4 linked regions of the Saccharomyces cerevisiae S288C genome follow. Changing the gene in region 1 together with any one later gene gives a genetic interaction. Each region holds a gene or a part of one and is shown on either strand. Other genes may lie near its edges. The genes, in order: AFT2, MIT1, PUT1 and IME4.

Region 1 (3,904 bases):
TGCCCTAAATATCTTCTATACTACAATTCATTTTAATTCAATATCATATTTAAGTTGAGGGCATTTAGATCTTAGAGATTCATCTAAAAATAGGAGGGGTGATGTATAGAAAATGTTCGAATATCATTCCTCTGCTTTTTTCTATATGATTATTTCCTATATGAGCTTTTACTTACTGATCTCATGATCTCAGTGCAAAAATTAGGGGACCGGCACGCCTGAAAGTTTTTTAGATAATTGAATGTTGCGGTGCATTACCTATGAAAAGATGAAGCGCACGTGAACCATATTATAATCAACAAACTTGAAGAATAAAACTTTTGAGCGCATGAAGCCATGATATATCTTATTTGTATCGACATGCTTTAAGTCCTCCGTAGCTTTAAAAAGTCTAAGGTCCAAAATCCCTCGATGGTGCTGATATCACCATTATTCATGTCCATCAGATCTTGTCACATATTTAAACGTGATACCGTTTTAATGAGTTGAAAACTAAATAATTAATATTTTGATATTAAGGCTGGGTCAATAGAATTTAATTCATTAAAATGCTCATCGTTGAAATGAAGCAACGCTTCGTAGTTGTAGTTTAACATGCCAAAATTTTCGTTTCTCTCTTTGCCTAAGTTCGTAGCAATATCTGTATCAGCAGTTGGTGCGTTGCTTTTGGTATCTTTGGAAACTTTAATGATCTCATCTCCATAAGGAGCGTCTGTTTCCATAAAATTTGGTGAAGATGTTGTTGATTCTGACAGGGCTATATCCATTTTGCTTTGTGACAAGGGCCTCGTTGGTGTTGAAGGAAGTATACAAGAAGAGGACGAAGGACCTGGTGTAGGTTCTGTCAAAAGTTCCATCAGGCCTTGGTTGTAATTTTGGATGAAATTGTCGTTGCAAAACATGTTCGTAAAATCAATTTCGTTTAAGTTCGTTAAAGAATCTTCTTTCTCTATCTTTACACAGGAATTCCGCGTTTTGAAATTGTCTAAAAATCCGGTATCATGTAGATCCGCATCCAACTTCGTTTTCAACCTTGGCCTAGGTTTCGAATTATCCATCTGTCTGGATTTTATTTTAGAAACGGAGTTTTTATTTGTTTTGAGCAAATTTTTTTTAGACGTCAAAGGGGGGTTTGATAGTGGGAGAAAAATGTTATTGAAAGCTTCAATTTCCTTGGTTAACCCACAGTCACAAGAAATAATTGGTGTGACGAGTGGTAAGTTTAGACTTGCTTTATATTCTAATTCATCAAATGTTTTGATGGCTTTTTCGTCGTTCTTCTGACGAAGATTTTCCTTAAACTTTTTATAGTCATCCGTTTTAGTAATCAAATCAAATCTCAGCTCATGTGAATGTATGTTATTCATAACAACCACGTTCCACTTCTGTAACCGCACAGAGTAGGCTGCTCTAATTCTAAATGGACATGCATGGGATCTTGAAGAGGAACCTTTGGATTTAGGGTTCAACCCTACTTTCGATCGTACTGACCTACACTTAAAAGTAACTTTGCTACTATCTGATCTTTCGATGACTATATCTATTCCTTGAGGATAGAATATTTTCTGTAGCCACGGTTTAATCTCGTGCCTGTCCTCAAAAGACGGAACTGGGTCTAAATGAATAAGTTTATTTTGGTCTTTAGACATCATAGATGCTAGATTATCGGGAGATGCTGTTAACTTCATTTTCCCTGTTTTAGACACTGATATTGGCACAGATATTATGCTCTTCATCGACTTTGCTTTCATTTCTTGGGGGTCGCTTTCTCTTGATTAATTTGCGCCAGAGTTTCTGGTCACTACAACAAATTTTTTGAATGAGTCGTGTTCACTATTATGTATAGGTCCATCAGTTTAATTTGCACAGTTTTTGCCTTAATCAAAAGAAAATCAATTCTGACTAAAAGAAAGCCACTTTACCGATCTCGGCCCACGAAACGATTTTTTTTTTTACGGTGCTTTTTTCTTTCTTTTTTTTGTTCTTTCTATTTTTTCCCTTTGCTTTTCGCACAATACCGCTTACCGTCAATCGAATAATGAATGGCTCTGGTATCGTTCAATAAAATGAGAAACGTGCTTCCAGTTCAAAACCAAACAGCTCAGACAGGTTAAAGTGAAGAAGTTGAGATATATACAAATTAATGTCACTGTTATTTTTTTTATTTACATTTCCTTAACCTTTATTTAAGAAGAATTGTTTGAATGTTATTGTCATCAGTAAGAATTGTCAGCACTGGGCTATTTACAGAGGGACAGTTACCAACAAAGAGATCTTTGACACTCCTTATACCGTATTTGGCCCTAATGTCTGAGTAGCCCACGAACAGCCACCGTTTGAAAGATATAGAGTACTTGTATACCGATAACGCTGTTCCGTAGAGATGTTGCTCGGTTATAAAAATATACTTCCCATTGTTTGCTATCTGACGTCCTGTTCCTGAAGCATGGACATGAAGTTCTTGTGTCTTGTAAAATATTGGATAAACCTCGCTGTCTGAGACGGGTGGAGAAGAATTTGAATTCTCTATGGGGTCTCTTGTTGGAATGGACAGATATCTCATGTTGGTTTCGAGTAAAATGTGATTCGTTTTAAGAAGATAGTCGATCTTTTGAACGTCTTCGTCTATTTTAAGCATAAAGTTTATTTCCTTGTTTAGCGTGGAAGCATCCGATCCTAATAGATTCTTGCAGTGGAAAATCATATCATTTCCTTTGTATAAAGTAAACTGAGGGAAATTTAAAACGGACTTGACATTTGTGGTCGTGCGTAGATCTACAGGCAAATCAATGTTGGTATGGAAACTTTGAAAACTTCCATTGCTTTGTTGGTGATCTAAAGAAGTTATTAGCAGCCCATCTTTCAAACTAAAAGAAACAACGAAATGTGGCAACAAACCTGCCCAGACATTTAATATAGATAGGTGGCTTTGATGAGAGGAAGTTGAAGGATCCTTCAAAAGCAAGTGATTGTTTACGTTTCCGTTCAAGTCGCAGTTTAGCTTTAACAACTTTCCATTCTGAAATCCAACTAAAATTTGAATGGTGTTTGAATTATAACCAAAATTGCAGTCCATACATATTATTGCGTCCGATAGCAGTAAATTCAACTGCCCGTAAAATTGCTGCTTAATAAAAATCAAATGTTGGCCGTTAAAGTCATACAGCAGTAATTTTTTGTCCTCTGCTTGATTAGAATAAAAAATCCAGTACTTGCTATTGAAATTTCTAAAACTTTTGAAACTTTGTAAATCGTGGGTAGTAAAATAGTTATTAATCCGTACAAATTCCAACCCACGGTTACTTCGAAAAACATCTTCAAGTTCCTTTTCTTCGTCACCATCATCGTCTTCTTCAGAATAGTTTCCAACATCTCCACCATCCTCTCCGACATTGCTAAAGGTAAGCTGGTCGATATGTTCCTTTATCGTATCTGGAAGCTGTGGGTAATCATTATTCACCGTGTAGTTGCCATACTTGCTCGCCCGTTCGTCAAATACGTTCTGATATCTCGTGTGGTAAAATTGCACCCCCTTCCCATCCTGGTATATTTGCATAGGTATACCCATGATTTCGTTATGATTATTTTCTTTCTTGAGGGTGTTTAGCAATACATTATTATCCTTGTGATTTCGCTTATACACATGTAGGATTTCCTCCTTATATATTACAAGTGTGTCACCATTTCCGGCCCACCAATAGCCGCCGACCTCCAAATTACCCCAAATAAAAAAAAAGAAAACTCCGGAAATGCGGGGTTGAGCTGCAATATAATAATAATATGGCAACTTTAGCCGCGCAATCGAAGATACAGTAAATATAGTAAAAACGTGTCTGCAAATGGCTACTTTCGATCCTTCTTCCCAAAAGGCAATATTGCAGAAGAAGAACTAGAAAATGATGGA
Region 2 (5,125 bases), on another chromosome or scaffold:
ACGTAATTTTAATCAATGGAAGGAGATGGCGTTGAACAGTATTTGGAAGATCGGATTTCAGTTGCATTCGAGTTCGAAGTATTTCGTGAGGATAAGTCACGGTAGATGCTACCATTTTAGATAGCATAGAGGCCAATATTAATTTTTGAAAGTTTGAGCTCGTCACATCTGTCGATACGTCAGTCGATTCTGAATATCCGAACCTTATTTTTAAATTTTCATATAAAGGAAACTGTATAGCAACGTTCAGCATCCCCAGCAGGGCTGGTACTAAGCCGGCATAAAGAGCCTTAGCACCCTCTTGTTGAATGATCTTTCTAAATGTGTCTATGGTACCCTTATAATGGGTGGAATATTTACCGATACCTGTTTGCAGCATAAGTCTTGTTTTTACTACCCAAATCGGATTTGTCGCAACTGTAGAGATGGCACCTGCAGTAATTGCAGAAGAAGCGTTTGAGAGAAACGGACTATGTGGGAAAATATCGACCGAATATTTTCTACAGAAATCATAGACGGAAAAGTAAATCATCAAAGTAGGAATATAACCTAAAACCGTCGGCTGTAGACCTTTATAAAGCCCAGCAGCACCTTCATCCTTGAAAATAGTAGCAAATGTACCAAAAAACCCCTTATAATGTTGACTTTGGTGTGTCATGTTTTGGAGACCTTGTGCTTGTAATCTTGTTTTCGCAACGTCAAAAGGACAGACCAGCATTGCGGATAGTGCACCAGATAAAGCACCTGAAATTGCAGCAACTCTAGGGTCAGCATTCTTTTTCAGCCTATTTAGTTTTGTGGGAATCGCATAATTTCCATTAGCTAGTGACGCATTTTTTGAGTTTTCTAATGTCGTTTTATTGTCTCCATTATTCATTATATAGCCGTGATGTATATTCCGCTTTTCATCAAACAATGAAAATAAGTTGAGAACAACTAATTTCGATGTACGTCCAAATTATATGTTTATTTGCTTATATATCAATTTGCTTATCTTTTCCACTTCATTTTTCCACCAGCGCGAGTATGTCGAGAATCATTTTCGACAGCATCTTCAAAAAATACACTAAGCTATCTTTCGTAGAAAATGTTGACAGAGGGGATTCTTTAATAAAGATATTTTATGATGTCAAAAGGAATAGCTTTTTTCCATAGGCAAATGAAGATGAAATTAAAGGCATGATTACGTAAAGAAGCGAAGTATATAAAACTGTAAAATGAAAAATGATATAATTTTCATGAGTAAACCCGATACTCAAAAAGGCAAGGAGAAGAAAAGAAAATCGGAGTACTTTTTTAAAATATATTTACTTATTGTGTAGTAGTTGAAGTGTTTGTATTGAGGTTGTTCATCGTATCATTATTGGTGATGTTTAAGATATTATTGTTCGCGTGACCCATAGCGAAGTTTTTGTGGTCGTTGGGCTCTTGTTGATAGTGATGATGTTGAGGATCAGATCCAATAGTGCTCAAAGTGTGACCAGAGCTCATTATATTTTGTTGAGGCGTCGCTATTGGATATACAGTGGGCAAAGGATGTTGGTGCTGGTGTTGATACATAGACGGATTTTGAGCACTTGCCATGGCATATTGGGGGAATCCCTGGTAATACACTTGCGATGGAGTGTACTGAGAATTAGCGTATGCAGGATTTGATAGCATGGTGCCTGAGTTAGTGCTTGTAGCACCAGAAGGTTCTGCATTCGTATTTGAAGTAGTATTTTCTTGTGCCCTCTTGTATGCAGAAGCAGAAGAATTGTAATAAGGAACATTCACATTCATAGAATACACCGGATAAGGAGCTGTAGAGGTAGCAGAGCTTGCACTATTATTATTGGCTTGATGGAGTAGTGGCTGCATACTGGATACGGGAAGGACATTCTCGGCTGTACCAGGAGTGCCAGTAGCGCCTGCGGCTGCTGATGCTGATTGACTTTCAGTAGGATGCCCATAATAAGGGTGTTGAGTTGAGGAGGTGGAATAGCCTTGATTCTCGTTCGTTGAAGCGTTTGTTACAGGGTTTGGAGGTTGTGTGGTATAATAGTTAGGATTGTTTATCGGAATTGTTGTATAATAAAATGGATAAGAAATTTGTCCTTGTTGTTGCGGATTAATAAAGTCACCGGTGGTGTTATAAGCAAAAGAGGCGTTATGGAATCTATTTGGATTGTTACCGTTCCCTGCATTAGTATTGACATTATTAATATTATTAATATTATTATTATTGTTATTATTATTATTATTATTATTATTATTATTATTGTTACTATTATTACTATTACTACTGTTATTACTATTATTATTGTTATTATTAACATGTGTATTCATACCAGTAGCGTTAGTGTTATCAGGAGATTGAGTGATATAAGGTGGATTCGCCGTATACATCAAAGTTGTTGATGGTAATGCGGGAGCAAATTGAGTGATTGGGTATCCAGAGCTTTCATCATTTTTATAATAATAATTTTTGTTTGCACTAGTAAATTGATTACTGCCAGCAGCATTTATATTAGCACTATTGTTATTCGTGGAAATAACAGTATTCAGGGGAGTGGAAGAGTTGCTTTTATTGTTTATATTATTAGGACCATTACCGGTGGTAGTGGAATTGTTTTTCACGTTGCCTAAGGTTGTATTTCCCATCGCGACAATTAGTTCCTGTGAAGGTCTAACATCTTTCAAAAAAGGAGAAGCTTTAGGAGTCACTAGACAATTTTGTTTTATATCTTTTACAGAATAATAAGAGACAATATGTAAATTTTCAATCGAGTTGAATGGAGGTCTCTTCAGCTTCACAGATATTGTCTTCTTCACCAGGCCAGTATACTTTAAAGGTAAGTTCGAACGGTTTGATGGAGAAATGGAGGTGTCTTGCTCTGACTCAAAACTTGAATGGCCCATAGTAGGTGGCAAATCAAACTGGTGATTCTTCAAAGGAGGTAGCTTGATTTTCGACGAAGAAGGGTTATTTCTCGCGCCAGAAGTTCCATCCGTAATGACGGCGGAATCAGTACTGCCACTCGAAGTAGCATTAGCATTAGACCCGGCGTTTTCCTTGTCTAGTTCCTTGTATATTAGAAACTTGCCTGATATTCTTGATGGAGACCAAGAAACGCCATCAGTCCATCTCTTGATGCCCGATATCTCTTCAATAAAAACGAATATACTACCTGATACGATCAAATAAGGTCTTTCTATTTCATAAGGCCTTCTTGGTATATGCTTTAACTTGCCATCCAAAGTTGCTTGAAGAATAAGCAAAGCGTCATCTTCATCTTCAATGTACCCTTTGAAAGTAGGCTCGATATCCATTTAGAAATTTACGTTGTCCTTGTGTCTAGTTGAAATGTTGTTTTGTGGAAAAAGATGGTGATAGGAAAGATGATGCAGTACAGGTATTTATTTTATCCTAGTAACACAGTATAGAAATGGCGTACAACAGAGGCGGACCAAAAAAGAGAAGAAAATAGGCTATATTGTCGATAGTTGAGGCGAGATATTAAATAATATTGATAATCTTAAAAAAGACAAACAAACAATCAAAAGGCTACCGGTGAACAGGCTGTCTAATTCACAGATAGAAAATAAAAGGGTTCGAAAACAGAAATGGAAGGGAAACGATCGGGAAACGAAAAAATACAAATAAACAAAATAGCTTTCTCACTACCTTCTCTCTAGCTTAAATTTAAATTTGATGCAGTAACGAGGTTTTGAGTTGCGCAAAAAAAACACCAAAGAAGGGGCAAGATGAGGAAGATTCAGCCAAATTGAAACAAACGGCACATAACTGTACACACTTCGATTAAGAAGAAAAGATAGTAACCAACGAGAGCGCGCAAGAATTCAGCGTTAAAATTACAGTTACAATTACAATTACACTTACAATTTTACAGTTTACAGTTACAGTTGCCGGCGGAAAAGGAGGAAGACAGGCCATTTTTTGCCTCGTTAACGAACTTTAAACGTAAAAAATAAGAAATGTACGGAGACTGAGAGGAAAACCGACCTGCGGGACTACGTAAATTGGGAAAAAATAAACAAAAAACTACGCCTCCACCCACACCTTCCGAATAAATGGGGGATTTGTAGGAAAAAAAAAACGCAAAATTTTTTCTTGTTTCGGTGAGTTGGACAGATCATTGCATACGTAGAAGACTTGCATCTTCTGTTCTTCGTCATCAAAACGTCTGAGTTGGCTGGCTCAACACCTCAGAATTAACCCCACGCGGGCAGTCTGATATGGATCGTGAGACCCAGCAAACGTGGGGGTATAACTACAATCTATTTTAGCCCACTGTTACCAATCGAAGCTTACAAACAACCAACCAGTGGCGCTATCGTCTCATCCATTATCCACACGTTGCTGTGTCGACTTGCCACGCTACATGACATTATCTTTGATAAACAGATCCACGGCATGTATTCAAGCTGTAGAACAGAAATATTGCCGTGTTCCGTTACCGGAGAACAATCGATGATGCCCCCATACCCCATACCCCATGCGTGGACGCACAAAGCACCCATACCTTTTACAATGCCGAACACCACCGGCATCTTGTAAAAATTAGAATTATTTGTCCGGGCGTTGACAATGCCTTTCTTGACATACACACCGCCTCTCCAAACGCCAATCTCCAGCCAATTAAATTGAACTGCTTTCGAAGATCTTCGGGGAATAAAGTGCATGAGCATACATCTTGAAAAAAAAAGATGAAAAATTTCCGACTTTAAATACGGAAGATAAATACTCCAACCTTTTTTTCCAATTCCGAAATTTTAGTCTTCTTTAAAGAAGTTTCGGCTCGCTGTCTTACCTTTTAAAATCTTCTACTTCTTGACAGTACTTATCTTCTTATATAATAGATATACAAAACAAAACAAAACAAAAACTCACAACACAGGTTACTCTCCCCCCTAAATTCAAATTTTTTTTGCCCATCAGTTTCACTAGCGAATTATACAACTCACCAGCCACACAGCTCACTCATCTACTTCGCAATCAAAACAAAATATTTTATTTTAGTTCAGTTTATTAAGTTATTATCAGTATCGTATTAAAAAATTAAAGATCATTGAAAAATGGCTTGCTAAACCGATTATATTTTGTTTTTAAAGTAGATTATTA
Region 3 (8,122 bases), on another chromosome or scaffold:
GGGGTTTTTTCCAAGATAAGTTCTAACTCCTCTCTACTATCTACAAATCCCGTAATAAAGTTTCTATTATATCCAAACGCACTAACTGTAGTGTTATGAAAACCTTCAATATTCAAATTCAATTTCTGGAATACGGTTGAAACATCATCATTCTCTTCCCTTTCTTTCTTGTCGGAATCATTATCGTCCACTATTAATCTCTTACAAGTAACACCACCAAATTCTGCAACAGCGCCTCTAGGTAATTCAGAAATCTTTACAAGAACTAGGCATTTTTCAACATCATCAGATTTGTCCATCCATAGATCTGATCTATGATTCATATTTGAACAATAAAACGCCCATGTTTTGATGACAGAGTCGAGAACCGATTCGTCTGAAATATAGCATGTCATGAGTAACTTTTCTTGAGCTCCTATTGTTTCACACAAAGTATCAAAATGTTGTAATGCCAAAACTATTTGGTCAGTGAGAGGTGTTCCTAATATTTCCATTGACTGCGGTACTAGTCCGATTTGCCCACTGATAAAACTGACTTGGTTTGCATCATCGTTTAACCAAGTACTTTGGGAATATGGTCCGATATTACATGGAGCCCAATATGAACGGCCTTGAACATGTAGTCCGCCCTTATTCTTGTTGATTTTTTCTTTGCCTGTATTTTTTACATCAACAACAACTGATAACTGTACGTGACAATCTTCTGGCAAGCACTTCGAACCTACGCATGCTCTTGATGGTGGCAAAGGTCCGTATTTTGACAAATCTAAAAATTCATTGTATATTTTGTTGATTTTTCCGAAATTAGACATATCTCTAATTAATAATGACGCAGATAAAATATGATTCCGTGGAATCTGGTTGGAATGCAGAATGTCGGCTAGCTCAGTAAAAATATCTTCACTTTGCTTCTCGACCGTCTCACTTTTACGTGATTGTAGGTTAGAGATGTACAACTTATCATTGGTTTTATTGATTGTCGTTTGTGGTAGAGCATTCGACATGTGATTTTCAAATCTTTGTTCTCCTGTTTTAGCTTGTTGCTTTGGCAAATTTTGGGTTAAATCTTGCCAATTATTACCAAAAATCGAAGGTACAGGTAATTGATCTAATTGGTTGAGTAAAAAACTTTTGCTCAAATTACGCGGTTGAAATTTTACCTTTAACCTTGCATTGTGAACTTCACCATCGCTACATTTGACAATATCAATTAATTCCAAGTATCCATGTTGGAAAAAAGGGGCATCCAAGACCATTGTCTCAAACTCCCCACCCTCTCCACAGATATGAACTTGATAAAGTTGGTTAAGTTTCTGTAACACCGGTTGCATCATAGGCAAGGACATTCCTAAATGTTTCTCGTTCAATCCAATTGCTGCCACCTTGATTATCCTGGCGTCAAATTTATTTCCTGAATTAGTATCGTTTTCAACATTGTTAACATCCTTGGACATAAGGCACATTTCACCCATTAGTTCGGCTTGATCCCTTTGCCATAAATAGCTTAGCACTACTAGACCCAATCTGGAACAAACATTTTCCACTCTGGTCCTCTGGTAAGACGATAAGATGGCACCTACACTAACAGCTTCTAAATCTGGAATTTTATCTTTGACAGTTCTTAGAAGTTCAAATAGTTCTTCAATTTCATCATCCTGAGTAGCAGTATAATTCAACTCGACGTTGTTAGAAGTGTTCCGTAATATTGAGCGTCTAAATAGTGGAACACCAATACATTTAGAATAATAGTCTATTAAGTCATGTCCTACTGTTTGGAACATGAAAGAGTCTAATTCTTGCTCTTCTGATTCTTTTGGGTATATATTTCCCAGGGCAATCAATTCATGGTTGTTCTTCAGGCAGTGAAAAATATTGTAGAACGAGTCCTTCCCACCTGATATTAATGCTATAAACTTCATGATACTGACTTATTGGGCTTTGAATTTTGATATAGCTTTATCAAAGATTTCCGTTTGAACTAGCTATTCATCATCCATCAGATATAAGTGAAAAAAAGCTTCTTTAATAGAAGCTTAAAAAAATTCTCCGCGACGGGGAATTGAACCCCGATCTGGCACGCGACAAGCGCCCATTCTGACCATTAAACTATCACGGATAAGAAACACTGGAAAACTATGTATCCCAAAATCCCATACGTTGGTTTACTAACACTACTAGATGTATTATTCATAGGTACCCCAAAATCCTTACAAAGAGACAAGGCTGAGTGTATCAAGCAAAACCGCTTTAAATCTGATGTTCTGCGCTTTCTCCCTTTGATTAGATTCAGGTCTTATGTAGTTTATAGAAGATGAGTACCTTTCTTGTGCATAAGAGTTGATAATAAGCCTGACGACGACAAGCCACTTTCCTACCGATTTAGGATTGGCAAAACATCTGGTACTATTCGAACCCATAATCAATAGGAAGAAAGCTTTACCAACAGATTGTTATTTAAGTGGTTCAAGTATATTAACTCTTGATATCCGTGCGTTTACTTTACTATTAGTGTTATTATCATTACTTATATATAATATGTATAACTAGAACATCAGAATTATGTATGCATACTTTTTTTTTTTTTTGGTTTTTTGGTTTGTCTTTGAAATTGGAGTATATATTATAGTCCTCTCATAGGCCTACTCTTTTTGGAATCGACTTTGCTATGGCCTTGATTAATGGCCAGCCATTATCAGATCTCACAGCATCCCCGTTTTCTTGCAATCTTCTCAAAAGATAATCTTTAGTTTCCAATGGTGGGCCCCATGGGACATACTTGATTATGTTTTTAGCGCCATGGTTGGTAATTAGGTCATAGGTAACATTATCTGCCATACCTAGTAATTGCCCCAACACAATGTTCGATTTGGCATAAGAGTTGTCTTGGGTAGATTTTAGCAAATTAGTAACGAGCATTTGGGATTGGTAATTATGAGAGGCGACAACCAAGTGACCAAAATAAGAATCCTCGCCATTGATGATTAAATCATTGACAACTTGAGTGATGATACGATCGTAATTTTCGTCAGTGCCCGTTTTATCGCCAAAGATAATTTGGTTACGGTTTTTTTCAGAATGAATATAAGCACCACGAACCAGTTTCAGCCCAAGCTTATAGCCGTTTTCTTGGGCCAGCTTCAATTCGTGCAAAATATGGTCACCAGAGTCCCTTAGGTACAACTGCCAAGTACCGACACATGATATCAGTTTAGATGAAGTGGGATTGAATTTTTGAAATAAGATTCTCTGTAATTCGTAAACACCATTCTCCTGCAAATCATACTTCTCAGCGTCAATAGTGGAAACCATAAATGGGGCCTTTCTTTCAGGGTACTTCTTTAACAAAGATTGATTTAGTTCAAAAATCTCTTTTGTAATCTTAGAGCAGTTCTCGATCAGCTGATCCCTTTGAGCCTTGTAGGCGGGATTACTGAAATTGTACAGAACCTCGTGAGGGTTATCGACCAAAGCAGAGGGTTTTAGAGCGATATAACCTGGAGCAATGTCATTGATTGGCTTAGATTCCAGCTGGCCAATAATATTGGGCAGTAGGATGTTGTGGACAGAGCTGATTGTTTCCTTGACAATTTGGTCTACTGGAGTACTGGACAAACTCTTTGTACCTTCGGAATTTTCAATAGTTAATGAAAGCATCATGTTCGATATACCTCTCTTCTGCAGACGTTTGCCGCATTCGATGACCTCTTTAAAGTTCTCACCGCCACAGTATAAAGAAGAGACGAAGAATTTTATTACTGGGATGGGGATGTAAGGGAACAACTTAATGATCGTGTTCAGGAAGAAGCTGTTCAAGGTCGCAATACCGATGAATCCCAGTTGGAATAGTTCCTTCTTGGGAAGTGTCTGTAGAAAATTGATTGAGTTAGGAGGTGCCATCACACTATTGCCGTTGGCATTGGCGGCCGGAGTTTCAACCATCAGATTAGCAGCCGTGTTAGAGTGTGTCGGAGTCTTTGACACATAGGACCTCTTTATCAAAGGAAAGCATAGAGAGGGTATGCGCGATTTAGTAACTAATAAGGAGCTTTTGGAAGCTATCATTTCTAGCGTGCGTTAGTGTTATTACTATGTAGCGATGTTTATGATATATAAAAGACAAAAGAGAAGAGCTGCTACGGACTTGTGGAGTTTGTGTTCGGTTCCCAGCAAGCTTTATATAAGAAGGCAGAAGGGTGAGAAAATGGGCTTAGTTCATGCGATTTCTCCTGATAATAGACGATACTAAGTACAATAATGAGATGATAAGGGAAATAGCGCCACTCATCAATTGTTTATCATTCATTTTTCTTGTGTAGATATGCTTTTCGGGATGCGAAACCCGAGGCGTGGTAACCGGAAAGCCATTGCCGAAAGGAAATTCCAATCAAAAAAGCGGTGGAGCTAACGGAGGGAATAAGCGAAAGAATAATGAAAACAAAAATTATGTCCCTGCGCGATTTTTCGCATTGTGTCTCATTTGGATAACCATTTTAGCAACTGATTTTCATGTAATGCTGATCGGAACAAGTCCGCTTCGTCGATTTCATCCCTTTCTGCCTCGCTTTCACCTTCACTTGCAGTGTTATCTTGTTCTTGATTTTCTTGATTTTCTTGATTTTCTTGATTTTCGTCTTGATGGACTGGGGGCGCATCCCGTCTGGACAACTGGCTTTGTAGAAACAGATGTGCCATCTCCTTGGTGCGGAACAGTTTGCCCTCTCGCGGATAGTCTAGTTCCCATTTGCGCAGTGTCAAAACAATGCGCCTTGGAAGCACGTGTAGGTCACGTGATCGGGCTTCTGTGCATAGTGCACGCTCAACTTGCCGGCGAGTTACCACCGTCGGTAGCGACTTGTGTCCTCGAGATTCGGCCGCCCTGGCGCTGACGCTGCGGGAAGCCATACCCGCAAGGGCCGTGCACCACAGCAATGTACGTGTGTAGCGACTTACGCAGCGCTCCAAAGTCTGCGTCGCGCTGCGCGATAGCGGCAGCGCGTGGCGGGGCAAGGGTCTTATCTCCGCGATACGGCTGTGCGAGTAGATGGCCACCCACCTGCGTTTCCAGCTTTCATAATCGATAAGGCCCTCGCAGTGTCCTTCCTCATCGGCAACCTCGGCTGCGCCTTCCGTGATGGCCATCACTGTCTCGCTCAGTTTTGTCTCCAGGGCAACCCACTCAGCGCTCATTTCGTACGCAATGGGCGCTCCGTCGTCACCCGCCTTACGCGATCTCGCGCTCGCACTCGCTCTCCTTAACAACCTGTAATAACCTAGAATCTCCATGGCGCTCTTCCGAGGCAACAATGAGCGCCACTCGTCTACACGGTGGATACTATAGCGTGAAAGGCACCAGAAAAAGGTATTCTTCTCCTCGCTGTCCCAGTCTACACCAACGCTAGAGATTTCTACACCAGCATTGGCGGTACCCGCCTTTTCATGGATGCTCTTTACATGTACTTTGGAAGGATGGAACTCAGCTGGGCGGCCTGACGCGGCACCATTGTAGAATTCCTCGACCTCCTTATTGTACAATTCGACGTACTTCCGCAATTGTTGGTGCTCCATCCTAGGTGACCGTCGTATGCGCTGTGCTTTCCTAGCTCTTCTTCCACTTCTGTTTCTCTATACTTTTTTTTTTGTTTTTCACCTCGCCCGCCTTTTCTTATTTCAGTGAACTGAAAAAAAAAAAAAAAGTTATGTATCTTTAATGTAATAAAACTAGTACATAATATATACGGAGCTTGAAGGCACTGGAGAAAATATAGAGTAAGCATATGTGGAAATTCAACAAAAAGCTCGCCCGTCTTACTTACCGTCTTTATTCAAGCTCAGGCCCAAGCTCGCCCCTTCATGGGAAGAAGAAACTGCCGCAAAATCTGAAATTCGTCGTCTTGAACCCTACCCAATCTGGGCTAGTGAAAAATGATCAGAAGCAGCCTAGACACAGGCCGTCTAAGAAACGTAGCCATAAGGAAACTGGAGATAACAACCTCGATTTCGGCTCGAAACTCCTTGTCTTCGAAAAGCAGAATTCACTAGATTCCGCATTGAACTCCATCCGATTGAAGAAACCGACAAGCGCCAGTCTGCCCTCCCTGGAATACAATGCCCTTCTCCAATCGCTTACATCAAGCTACAATCGCTACCAACTGCGCGAGTTCATCTCCACACATCAGCCAGACTCCTCTTCACATCTGACGCACTGGAAGAAAAGCAAGCTGTCCCAATATATAATTGAAAAAATCTGGAATTGCCAACCAATTTCAACACCCACCACTCCCACAGGCATCAAGTCCACATCATTGACTTTCCAGTTCGATTCTCCTAGAGAAATTTTCCTTTTACTCATCACTCAAAATGGTAAAATACTCACCAACTTCAATAAGCTCGGGCTGACATTCATCATCTCCATTCAGGATAACGAATTGACCGTCAAGGGTTCGCCTAGCTTGCTCAAATACGCAGAAATATCCTTAAACAAAATATGGTCAAACATCACTCATGAAAATGTGCGTATGTATTCCCTCATGCCATCAAAAGACGTCATCAACCTTATTCAGAAGGAAACTCACACTTTTTTTGAATACCTCCCGGACTTGCAAATGTACAAGATTTCAGCCCTAAGCACCAAGAAAATATCCATGGCCAAAGTCTTTTTATTAAATGCCGTCGCTTCTAATCCTAACACAACTCAACACCACCACACAATAGCCTCACCAGCACTCAAGACAGAACTCTATCCGTTCAACAATACTCTAGAGAACTTGGACTGGCTAAACAAGTCACAAGATTGGGCAAGATTACAGTCAGTTGTCCCTAAAAATTGCACAGATCTGATGACTCCCACTGAAAACGCCACACCAGAATTGACAGATGCGCAGGTCAGCCAATTCGAATCTTCCTTGTCTAAAAATATACCATCTCTCTCCCCTTCCGACTCTATTTCCCAATCTTTATCAATAACGCTAGGTCACTCCTTACAGTCCGCGTCTTTTTCTAGTATTTTCCAACCTCTAATACATAAGAGTTTTATTTCAAAATTACTGAATCTACCAATGTACAAAGAATCATCATCATCAGCCGTACCTGTGCCTGTGCCTCTTGATCAACATCTAATAACAAATGCGCATCAATCCTTCATACAGCTGAACTTCACTCCTGTGCCGCCCACCTCTGGCTCCTCCTCGTCCCCTTTTTTGCAGATTTGGTTCGAGATTGACGAATTCGATAACATTGTTACCACCTCAATGAGGCCTCTTTTGAAATTACAAGAAAATTCTGTTATCTTAAGAACTCCACAATGCCAGACAGACTATAAGATCACGTCAGATTACATTCAAGATCTTTTACCTGATTTCGACCAGACCAATCCGGATGCTTGGTTATCTGAACAAAAAGGCCTCCAAGAATTTCTTCTCAAGTCACACTGGAAGTTAAACAAATATCAGAATCTTATGAAAAAAATCAACATTTCTTTACCAGATAACCTAATACAGCAATACCAATTGACTGATGTTTTGACCCATCGTGTCTTGAATTTACGATTTCCTACGAACACTGCCCAAGATGATAAATACATCATTCAATATTCAGATATCAGCCGCGGATTTTTGAACAATGGCTCCTACAGACAATTAGATTTCATCAATGTGAACCCCAGTGAAACCTCACTAAAAACCTTTATCAATGATGTTTTAAGCTTTTAAGTTTAACGGAAAAGAGTAATGACAAAACCGCATACCCCCCCCCCCTCCCCCTCTTTACCGCATCTACTCTATTTCCGACACATGTAAATAAAAAAGGCATTTCGTTTATATATATACTAAAATAATATATCTTTGTGTATTAATAAATTACTTATTGAGACCAAGCGTTTTTGATAGCGCCGACTTAACAGCAGCACTCTTTTGCTTTTTTTTTCCTTCCGCTGTACCTGGACCATCGTTTCCTGTTTGTGCCTCCACAGGTAAGGGCGGCAACTCTTCGTCATCTTGATCCGCTGGTGCCGTCATCTCACCTAACGCATTTAACCTTCTTTGTCTTTCGAATTCAGTTTCTGATTCATATGCATTATCGTCGTAATCTTCACTATCGTCCATGTTATAACTATCACCTAAATCCT
Region 4 (8,431 bases), on another chromosome or scaffold:
TTATGAGAAAAATATAAAATTGGTAAGCCAGAACAACTTAACAGAAGGGGTTACGTTTGCGAAAAAAGGCAAGCCCGATAACCATAACAGTAGAGGAGGCTCCGTGAGGGCTGTATTATCTTTACAATCGCTGAAACTGCCTCAATTATCACAGCATGACAAAATCATTGCTGCCACCCCAAAGCGTATATATAGTAATGCACATACCTATCACATTAATTCGATATCGTTGAATTCTGATCAGGAAACATTTTTAAGTGCTGACGACTTGAGAATCAATTTATGGAATCTGGACATACCAGATCAGAGCTTCAACATCGTAGATATCAAGCCAACCAATATGGAAGAACTTACCGAAGTGATCACAAGCGCTGAATTTCATCCGCAAGAATGTAATTTATTCATGTACTCTTCTTCCAAAGGTACAATAAAGTTGTGTGATATGAGACAAAATTCCCTATGTGACAATAAAACCAAAACATTTGAAGAATATTTGGATCCAATCAATCATAATTTTTTTACAGAAATCACGTCGTCAATTTCCGACATAAAATTTAGTCCAAATGGTAGGTATATTGCATCCAGAGATTATTTAACTGTCAAAATTTGGGACGTAAATATGGATAATAAGCCTTTGAAAACCATAAACATACATGAGCAATTGAAGGAAAGATTGAGTGATACCTATGAAAACGATGCGATTTTCGATAAATTTGAAGTTAATTTTAGTGGTGATAGTTCAAGTGTAATGACTGGTTCTTACAATAACAATTTCATGATCTATCCTAATGTAGTAACTTCTGGTGATAATGATAATGGCATAGTCAAAACTTTTGATGAACACAACGCACCTAATAGCAACAGCAATAAAAATATCCACAACAGCATACAAAATAAAGATTCTAGTAGTAGTGGCAACAGCCACAAGCGTAGGAGTAACGGACGCAACACAGGCATGGTGGGAAGTAGTAATAGCTCTAGAAGCAGTATAGCGGGAGGAGAAGGAGCAAATTCGGAGGACTCGGGAACCGAAATGAATGAAATCGTGTTACAAGCTGACAAAACAGCGTTCAGGAACAAAAGATACGGTTCGCTAGCGCAAAGGTCTGCAAGAAATAAGGATTGGGGTGACGATATTGATTTCAAGAAGAATATTTTACATTTCTCATGGCATCCAAGAGAAAATAGTATTGCTGTTGCAGCAACTAATAATTTATTCATTTTTTCCGCATTATAATTATAATAATTCCTTATTTTCCCTTACTTTTTTTTATCCCATATCTTCCCCACATACTACTACTGTTTTAATTGAAATTTAAATTGAACTTGAATTCAAATTTTTTAGATTTAGATTTGCCCCTCATTGAAAATCTTTCTATCTTTATTTTTTTATTTTATCTTCTCTACTTATATTTTTATTCTACTTCAAGCGTGTTTTATTATCATTATTCTGAGACTTATACCATTTTCTTTCGTTTTTTTTCTGATTAGCTATCTTATAAACACTGTATCAATTATTAATCCGACATCCCTTTATCAGGACTTCTTTCATCACTTCACCAAAACGCGTGGAACATAAAAATAAAACGTCTTAAATTCTTCTTCATAGGTGCATGTTTATGTTTTTAAATGCTTATACATTTGCAATATAATTATATATATATAGATGTTTAAGAACGGAATGATGCTTCGCCGCCCAAAATACCTAGTACCTTTAGTTCCTATCAAAGGATTAATCTTTTTTTATTTTGAATTTTTTTTATCGAATATAAAAGAAATAAGTAAGAATTAGTAAAATTATCATAAATAAAAATTTTTCGAAAAGTTTATTCTCACTTAATCAATTAATTAATCGTCGTGCTCGATGTGCCTGTTGACAACAGGATTCCAGAATAATGTCTTATCACCGTCACCCCAGAAAAAAGGCTTAGACCTGATATTCATAAACTCGTAATCCCTTGGCCATTCGGAGTCTGGCACATGTTTCAAATGTTCACGATGCTCAGCATGCTCCTTTTCAACAAAGTATGTGTTCACAGCTGTTAAAGCAATTGCTGGTAGGGCGACCCAAACTGAGATTTTAACCCACATATTAGATGTGTCCTTCGCATGCTTTTCAGTGGCCATTAATGATTCTTTAAATTTTTGAGCTGCCACTTTATCTGGTGGGCCAAATGCAGGTTTCAAAGCATTTGGGGGTAATGAAGATGCATATCTCTTAGCACACTGTCTAAACATTTTTCTATTGTTTGTTATTTGTATAACTGTAGAACTGTAGTAATATGATTTTAAATCTAGATAAAACACATGCGATGTGTAGTGAAAACGTTCAAGGCAACGTGTATGTTTGTTATATTTAATGTATCCCGTCACTCATCGTGATCACATCCCAGCTGGGGGTTATTTTTCGATTCTCTTAGACCGATACTCCCAGTACCGCCTCTCATTGGTGGGAAAAAAAATTACCCGAAATTACTATATTGTGTCAATACCGCACCATATCACTACATTCATAGCGGTATAATCGAAAGGATAGCGGCGTTGGGTTACTACTATCGTCTACCTATTCAGCAGGATAGCTTACTCTGTATTAGCAAATAATAGTCGTTCTTCGCTATTCCCACAGTTTCCAGTAAGAACGATTGGAGTAGAAAAAAAGAATGGTAGAATGCGCCATGGGAAAGAACCGACCAAGAGTGGGAGCAAATAAGTCAAGTAATTACATTAGTAGTGTTTAATGGTTGAAAATATGGCCAGAACTAGTATTAGCTTTCTCCAGGCGACAACAATTTTTAAACATCCGGGTAATAAATTGTTCCAGTTGATGTAAAAAAATACACGGACTCGGATAATAATTATTGGACATAAACCATATCCTTCTCTATTCCAAAGTTTGTCTAATACAGACCAGGAAACCATTTACTTCCCGCTGCAGTCTTTTTTATGACCATCTTTTTTATGCAATGCTATTAATGTTTAAAAGGATTATTTAACGCTTTACTGAGCAAAATATAGGTTATTTAGTGTTTGGAATTGTTGTTTTTGTTGCTGTTTGGATTCAAAGGGAGTATGTTTTTGATTCATAGGATTCTGCTTGGCCTCAGCATAATACTTACCACTCCCCATATCCATATTATTCCAATACTGCTGCTGATGCTGCTGCTGTAATTTTGAAGGTTGCTTTTTGTCGATTTTTTTAGTACCAGTGTGGCTGGTTCCAGTTTTGCTCTTCATAAACTCCTGGTACTTCCTCTCGACATCCATTTCGTAAATGCAATTTCCTGTCAACTGGTTTCCGATGGTAAACCAGCCAGGCCGCGTATTGTGATCCCTTCCGAATATCTCTAGTTTTCTGGCATGGGTGCCTGCCAACCGTTCTGCTATACCATACAGTTCATCAGGCTTTCTACTAGTCTCTCTGGTCATTGATACGATCAAATCGACGTCAATATGTTTGTTGATCCACTTTGGATTACCCTTTAAGCCCACCAATAAATGCTCCTTAGAATGATTTAACCAATGACCCGTACGACCTGTAACAATTGTTCTACCCAGTTGGTTTGTCTTTATCCATGAAACTTCATTTATCACGTTGTAACCCCAGTTATTCAAAGACTCTTTACCCAATTCTATAGCTCTACCCGTCACCCAAAGAAAAATAATACCTTCATCTTGTAGTTCGTGCAAAGGCAAACCTAATAGTTCAATATCGTTGCAAGTACCGTATGGTAGGTTCATATGGATATTCCATGCAGGATCTGCAATAACTACCGAAAACTTTCCAAGAACCCTAAAATCAAATTTCCGCACATCGCAACGGATCCACTGTGCAGGTAAAGCCTTTTTGATACAATGTGCGGAGCAATTGCCCAGAGTATAAAATGGAATGGAAACGTTTGACCGTATTCTTTTATTTTCACTCGCAGTTTCACGATCAGCTCGCTCTTGCAAGCATGACGGAATATATTGCAGGTAATGAATGTATCGACACGTATTTAATTTATGACAGGTATCCAAATAGGAACAATCTCCTAACGAAATATCAGTTTGTGGTTTGATATTAGGGATAAAGTGAATTTTTGATTGAATGCACTCAATTAATCCTGGGTGATTTTCCTGACATGCGGATATTTTGGACCATTGTAAAGAAACGATTTTGTTATTGACAATGTACACCGAGGTGGACAATAGAGATGCATGCGAATAGTCACTACATATCGGGATGTATTCAATGACCTCGGTCGTGTATTTGGCTCTTTCTTTAGCAAGCTGAAAAGATGATGGTTTTTCCCTCAATAAATTTTGTAAGCGATTGCTCAGTTGTTCACGTGGTAACCCCTGGTTGCTGACGTTAACGTCCCAGTTCAGGACTCCAAGCAGTCTACCCAGCAGTTGGTCTTTTTCCGAATCAGCTTCCGGTTTTGTTGTTAAACTCGACACTTTTTCTTCACATGAAGAACTGGACGATTTTAATGTATAGTAGAAGGCATGGAACTTGTTATAGAGAATTTTCAAGGAAAAAACGTCCAGGTAAACAATTTTTTCTGGCCTATCTGCCACTAATAGATTCTGGTCAAATTGAATGGACTGCGGCGTTGCAAATATAATATCCTGAAGATCATTCCAAAACTGTTCAAACTGTAAGACCTCGTCTTTATCGTTTCTCAACTTCTGCATCTCATCATCGTATCCGCCACTGATGTACAGTGAATACACATCTTTGAGCTGTCCAGAAAGCGGTGCTCTTAGGATGTCATCATAATTCTGGATCAGAAAATGTACTAGTTTATCGTTAATCATAGCCTGCTTACAACTTTTATGAATTCAAGTCTGAATGCCAATTCTTATTTTTTTCGAAAACCCCCAATGCTAACTTATATGGTCCGTTTTCTTTACTGTTATCCATCTCCCTTTCCTATAGCTCCAGCGGTTACCGATCTTCCAGAATGCCGGGGAGATCTTTCTCTTTCTTTGTTTATAACAAGTTTCACAAGCACGAAAGAAAGAACAATACTGTACGCCAAAAGCCGCCTAAAGACGCATATTCCCGTCAATTTATGTGACCGGTACCACTATATACCTAAGGCACCTCTATACCAATGTAGAATGCCCTGTTTATACTCTATATAGAGGATTCTCGATGTTCTTTGGGGCATCGTTAAACGTGATATTCCTACTATGTTACTAAATGTTGAACTGAAAGCATCTTGAAACGATTCTAATCAGTTTTAGGTGTGTCGCCAATGTACAGTTATAGAAAAGACGCCAGATTACTCAAGTACGTTAAAATCAGGTATCAAGTGAATAACAACACGCAACATGTCTGGAACATTTAGTTATGATGTGAAAACAAAGGAGAACGAACCATTATTTGAGTTTAATTCTGCTTATTCTCCCAGGGTATCGTATCATTTTAACTCCAAAGTTTCACATTACCATTATGGTGTTAAGCATCCAATGAAGCCGTTTCGGTTAATGCTAACGGATCACCTAGTTTCCTCTTATGGATTGCACAAGATTATGGACCTTTATGAAACAAGAAGCGCTACCAGAGACGAATTACTACAATTTCACTCGGAAGACTACGTGAATTTTCTCTCGAAGGTTTCACCAGAAAATGCAAACAAACTGCCCAGAGGCACACTTGAAAATTTTAACATTGGAGACGACTGTCCTATTTTTCAAAATTTATATGATTATACAACACTATACACTGGTGCGAGCCTTGACGCCACCAGGAAACTAATCAACAATCAATCGGACATAGCGATAAATTGGTCTGGTGGTCTTCATCATGCAAAAAAGAATAGTCCATCTGGGTTTTGCTATGTAAATGATATTGTGCTTTCTATTTTGAACTTATTACGATATCACCCAAGAATCCTTTATATCGATATCGACTTACATCACGGCGATGGTGTCCAGGAGGCATTTTACACCACAGATAGGGTCTTCACGTTGTCTTTTCATAAATATAATGGCGAATTTTTCCCAGGAACTGGTGATCTGACAGAAATTGGTTGCGACAAAGGAAAACATTTCGCATTAAATGTACCCCTAGAAGATGGCATAGATGACGACTCATATATAAACCTTTTCAAGTCAATTGTAGATCCTCTAATAATGACTTTCAAACCAACACTTATTGTCCAACAATGCGGTGCGGATTCCTTAGGTCATGATCGCTTAGGATGCTTCAATTTAAATATAAAGGCACATGGAGAATGCGTAAAATTTGTCAAATCATTTGGTCTACCAATGCTAGTAGTGGGCGGTGGAGGTTATACACCTAGAAATGTATCACGGCTTTGGACCTACGAGACAGGAATTTTAAATGATGTCTTGCTACCAGAAGACATCCCCGAAGATATCCCATTCCGGGACTCATTCGGGCCGGATTATTCACTTTATCCTATGTTAGATGACTTATACGAAAACAAAAACAGTAAAAAACTACTGGAAGACATTAGAATACGATGTCTAGAAAATATCAGATACTTGCAAGGAGCACCAAGTGTCAGAATGGATGCTGAATGCATACCGACACAAGATATAAGTGCCCTGACAGAAGAAGAGGATAAAATCATTCAAGAAATGAATGAAGAAACAGAAGCAGACAGTTCAAATAGGCTAGAAGAAATGGAAAAAGAAAACAGTGGATTGATTGCCTTTTCATAGTTTAAGAGTTTGCTATTCGGTTAATCTCCCGTTTTTTTTTTTTTTTTTTTTTTTATTTTCCTTTTTTTTTTTTTAATGTTTTTAGCATATTATGTAGAGTGTTAAGGCCTTAAAAGTTATTTGCATCATTGTTAAAAATGACATGTATTGTATAAGAGTTCGGCTCTTCGATGCCGTCAGAAACATTTTTGGAAGGTGCACTCCGTATTCGAGACACTTCTGAAACGGACAAGTCACCAAACTACTCTGAAAACAACAAAAAAAAGCCTTTTCTTATAATTTGAAAGCTTCTCCCGCAGCATTATCGATATCGTGAAACTTCCAAAATCTTTCTTAATTAAACCGGACATCAGTGTCTACAACATTAGAGCAAGTCACTCAGTTCATGTAATACATCTGGACAATTATGTCTAATAAAGAGATAACTTGTATCAAACCGTTTAAAATTATTGCTCTAATTTTATTGATAGTTCTAATAATAAACCTCTCTTATAAGTTATTTCTGAGACGCTATTTAAAGTCGACAGTTATTTGGTGTTTAGGAATCGCCAATACAGATCGTAACGATATGATGTGGTGGCAAGTCTCGCCACTATTAGAGCGCTGGGTTTGGCAGTTAGTTGACAATTATGAATCCGGGTACGAATAATTATCAAGCCCTTATTAGCTACAATGCTGGGAGCAATAGATATATAAATAACCCTTATGCACAGCGGAAGACTTCAAAATATCTTTGTCTTTTATATCATTATGTGGTATGTATTATATAACGAGAATAATATATCAAATACAAAAAGTAACGAGGTTACCACATTGAATTTTCTTCAAATATCAGTGGTTAATTCAACACCTCCGACAGCCCATATTTCTCTTTCATCTTCAAATCTGTCACTAAACATTGTTTCCGCGTCTCCTCCGGCAGCAATCCTTTCTCTTTCGACATTTGCTAACCTTTTACCAACCCTCTTGGTATAGTCCCCAACAGACCGTAATTGAATTGTAGTACCTGTGACAGTTTCGATGCTGTTACCGCGATCTGAAATTTTAGCAAACCACTCGTTGAAAGTATGCATGTCATCTTCTTCAACCAATTTGAACAAAGCTAAATATGCTTTTTCTGCTGCGAGCTTAATTGGGATAACAGGATCACGCAAGCAAGAAAATACAGATGGTCCTACTACATCGAAGTATTGCTTAATGCACTCGTCAAATTTGAATCTGGCTAGTGTTCTTATAACCACCAAGGCCAACCTTCTTACATCCGTAGAATTACTGGCTGGTTGTAAGACAGCTTTGCTCAACTCATTAATTAACAGATTGATGTTTTCATCGCCAATTTTGAATGGTTCTGCAGCATCCTTTTTAACAAATGGAGACCTCTTTTCTCCTTCTAATAAAAGTAATTTACCAGCAGCAATGGTACCATTTTCTCCGAAGTAAACATCAGGGGAACGGATTGCATTCAAAATGTAACTTACAAATTCGTCTATCAAGCCCGTATTGAATATATGTGTTGGTGCATCTTTCAAAAAGGAATTCAAAGTCAGAATAGCAAACTTACCGGTTTCTCCATCTAGATCTGCATTCAAAACCTTGTCTTGCAATATCTTGTGGGCTTCGTCGTTCGACAAAATCTCTGATAACGATCCGATTAATTTAGCGTAAGCAACTGCCAATTTGTCATTGCTACCCAACATTTCTTCCTCAACTAAATTGACAATGTTTGTCTTAGAATTTTCGTTTAATTTGGAAC

What was found.
Region 2: mutations in AFT2 (region 1) and MIT1 impair growth when combined (synthetic growth defect), as found in Saccharomyces cerevisiae (one large-scale study listed by BioGRID).
Region 3: mutations in AFT2 (region 1) and PUT1 together harm fitness more than expected from each alone (negative genetic interaction), as found in Saccharomyces cerevisiae (one large-scale study listed by BioGRID).
Region 4: of AFT2 (region 1) and IME4, changing one enhances a phenotype caused by changing the other (phenotypic enhancement), as found in Saccharomyces cerevisiae (one study listed by BioGRID).

Annotation. Positions count from the first base shown.
Region 1 is NC_001148.4:167,588-171,491, forward strand, and holds AFT2 (Aft2p), read right to left. Parts: upstream 1,752-3,904; coding exon 501-1,751; downstream 1-500. Other genes in the region: YIG1 (Yig1p), read right to left, coding at 2,183-3,568; CSM4 (Csm4p), read left to right, coding at 3,897-3,904. UniProt on the Saccharomyces cerevisiae protein: Transcription factor required for iron homeostasis and resistance to oxidative stress. With AFT1, activates the gene expression in response to low-iron conditions, also called iron regulon.
Region 2 is NC_001137.3:140,079-145,203, reverse strand, and holds MIT1 (Mit1p), read right to left. Parts: upstream 3,313-5,125; coding exon 1,312-3,312; downstream 1-1,311. Other genes in the region: YEA6 (NAD+ transporter), read right to left, coding at 1-877; YEL008W (uncharacterized protein), read right to left, coding at 4,312-4,692. UniProt on the Saccharomyces cerevisiae protein: Transcriptional regulator of pseudohyphal growth.
Region 3 is NC_001144.5:421,126-429,247, reverse strand, and holds PUT1 (proline dehydrogenase), read right to left. Parts: upstream 4,063-8,122; coding exon 2,632-4,062; downstream 1-2,631. Other genes in the region: DPH6 (diphthine--ammonia ligase), read right to left, coding at 1-1,919; RRN5 (Rrn5p), read right to left, coding at 4,474-5,565; SLS1 (Sls1p), read left to right, coding at 5,775-7,706; NHA1 (Nha1p), read right to left, coding at 7,854-8,122.
Region 4 is NC_001139.9:138,615-147,045, reverse strand, and holds IME4 (mRNA (N6-adenosine)-methyltransferase), read right to left. Parts: upstream 4,801-8,431; coding exon 2,998-4,800; downstream 1-2,997. Other genes in the region: protein phosphatase 2A regulatory subunit CDC55, read left to right, coding at 1-1,237; COX13 (cytochrome c oxidase subunit VIa), read right to left, coding at 1,849-2,238; YGL193C (uncharacterized protein), read left to right, coding at 4,819-5,130; histone deacetylase HOS2, read left to right, coding at 5,320-6,678; YGL194C-A (uncharacterized protein), read left to right, coding at 7,085-7,327; GCN1 (Gcn1p), read right to left, coding at 7,503-8,431.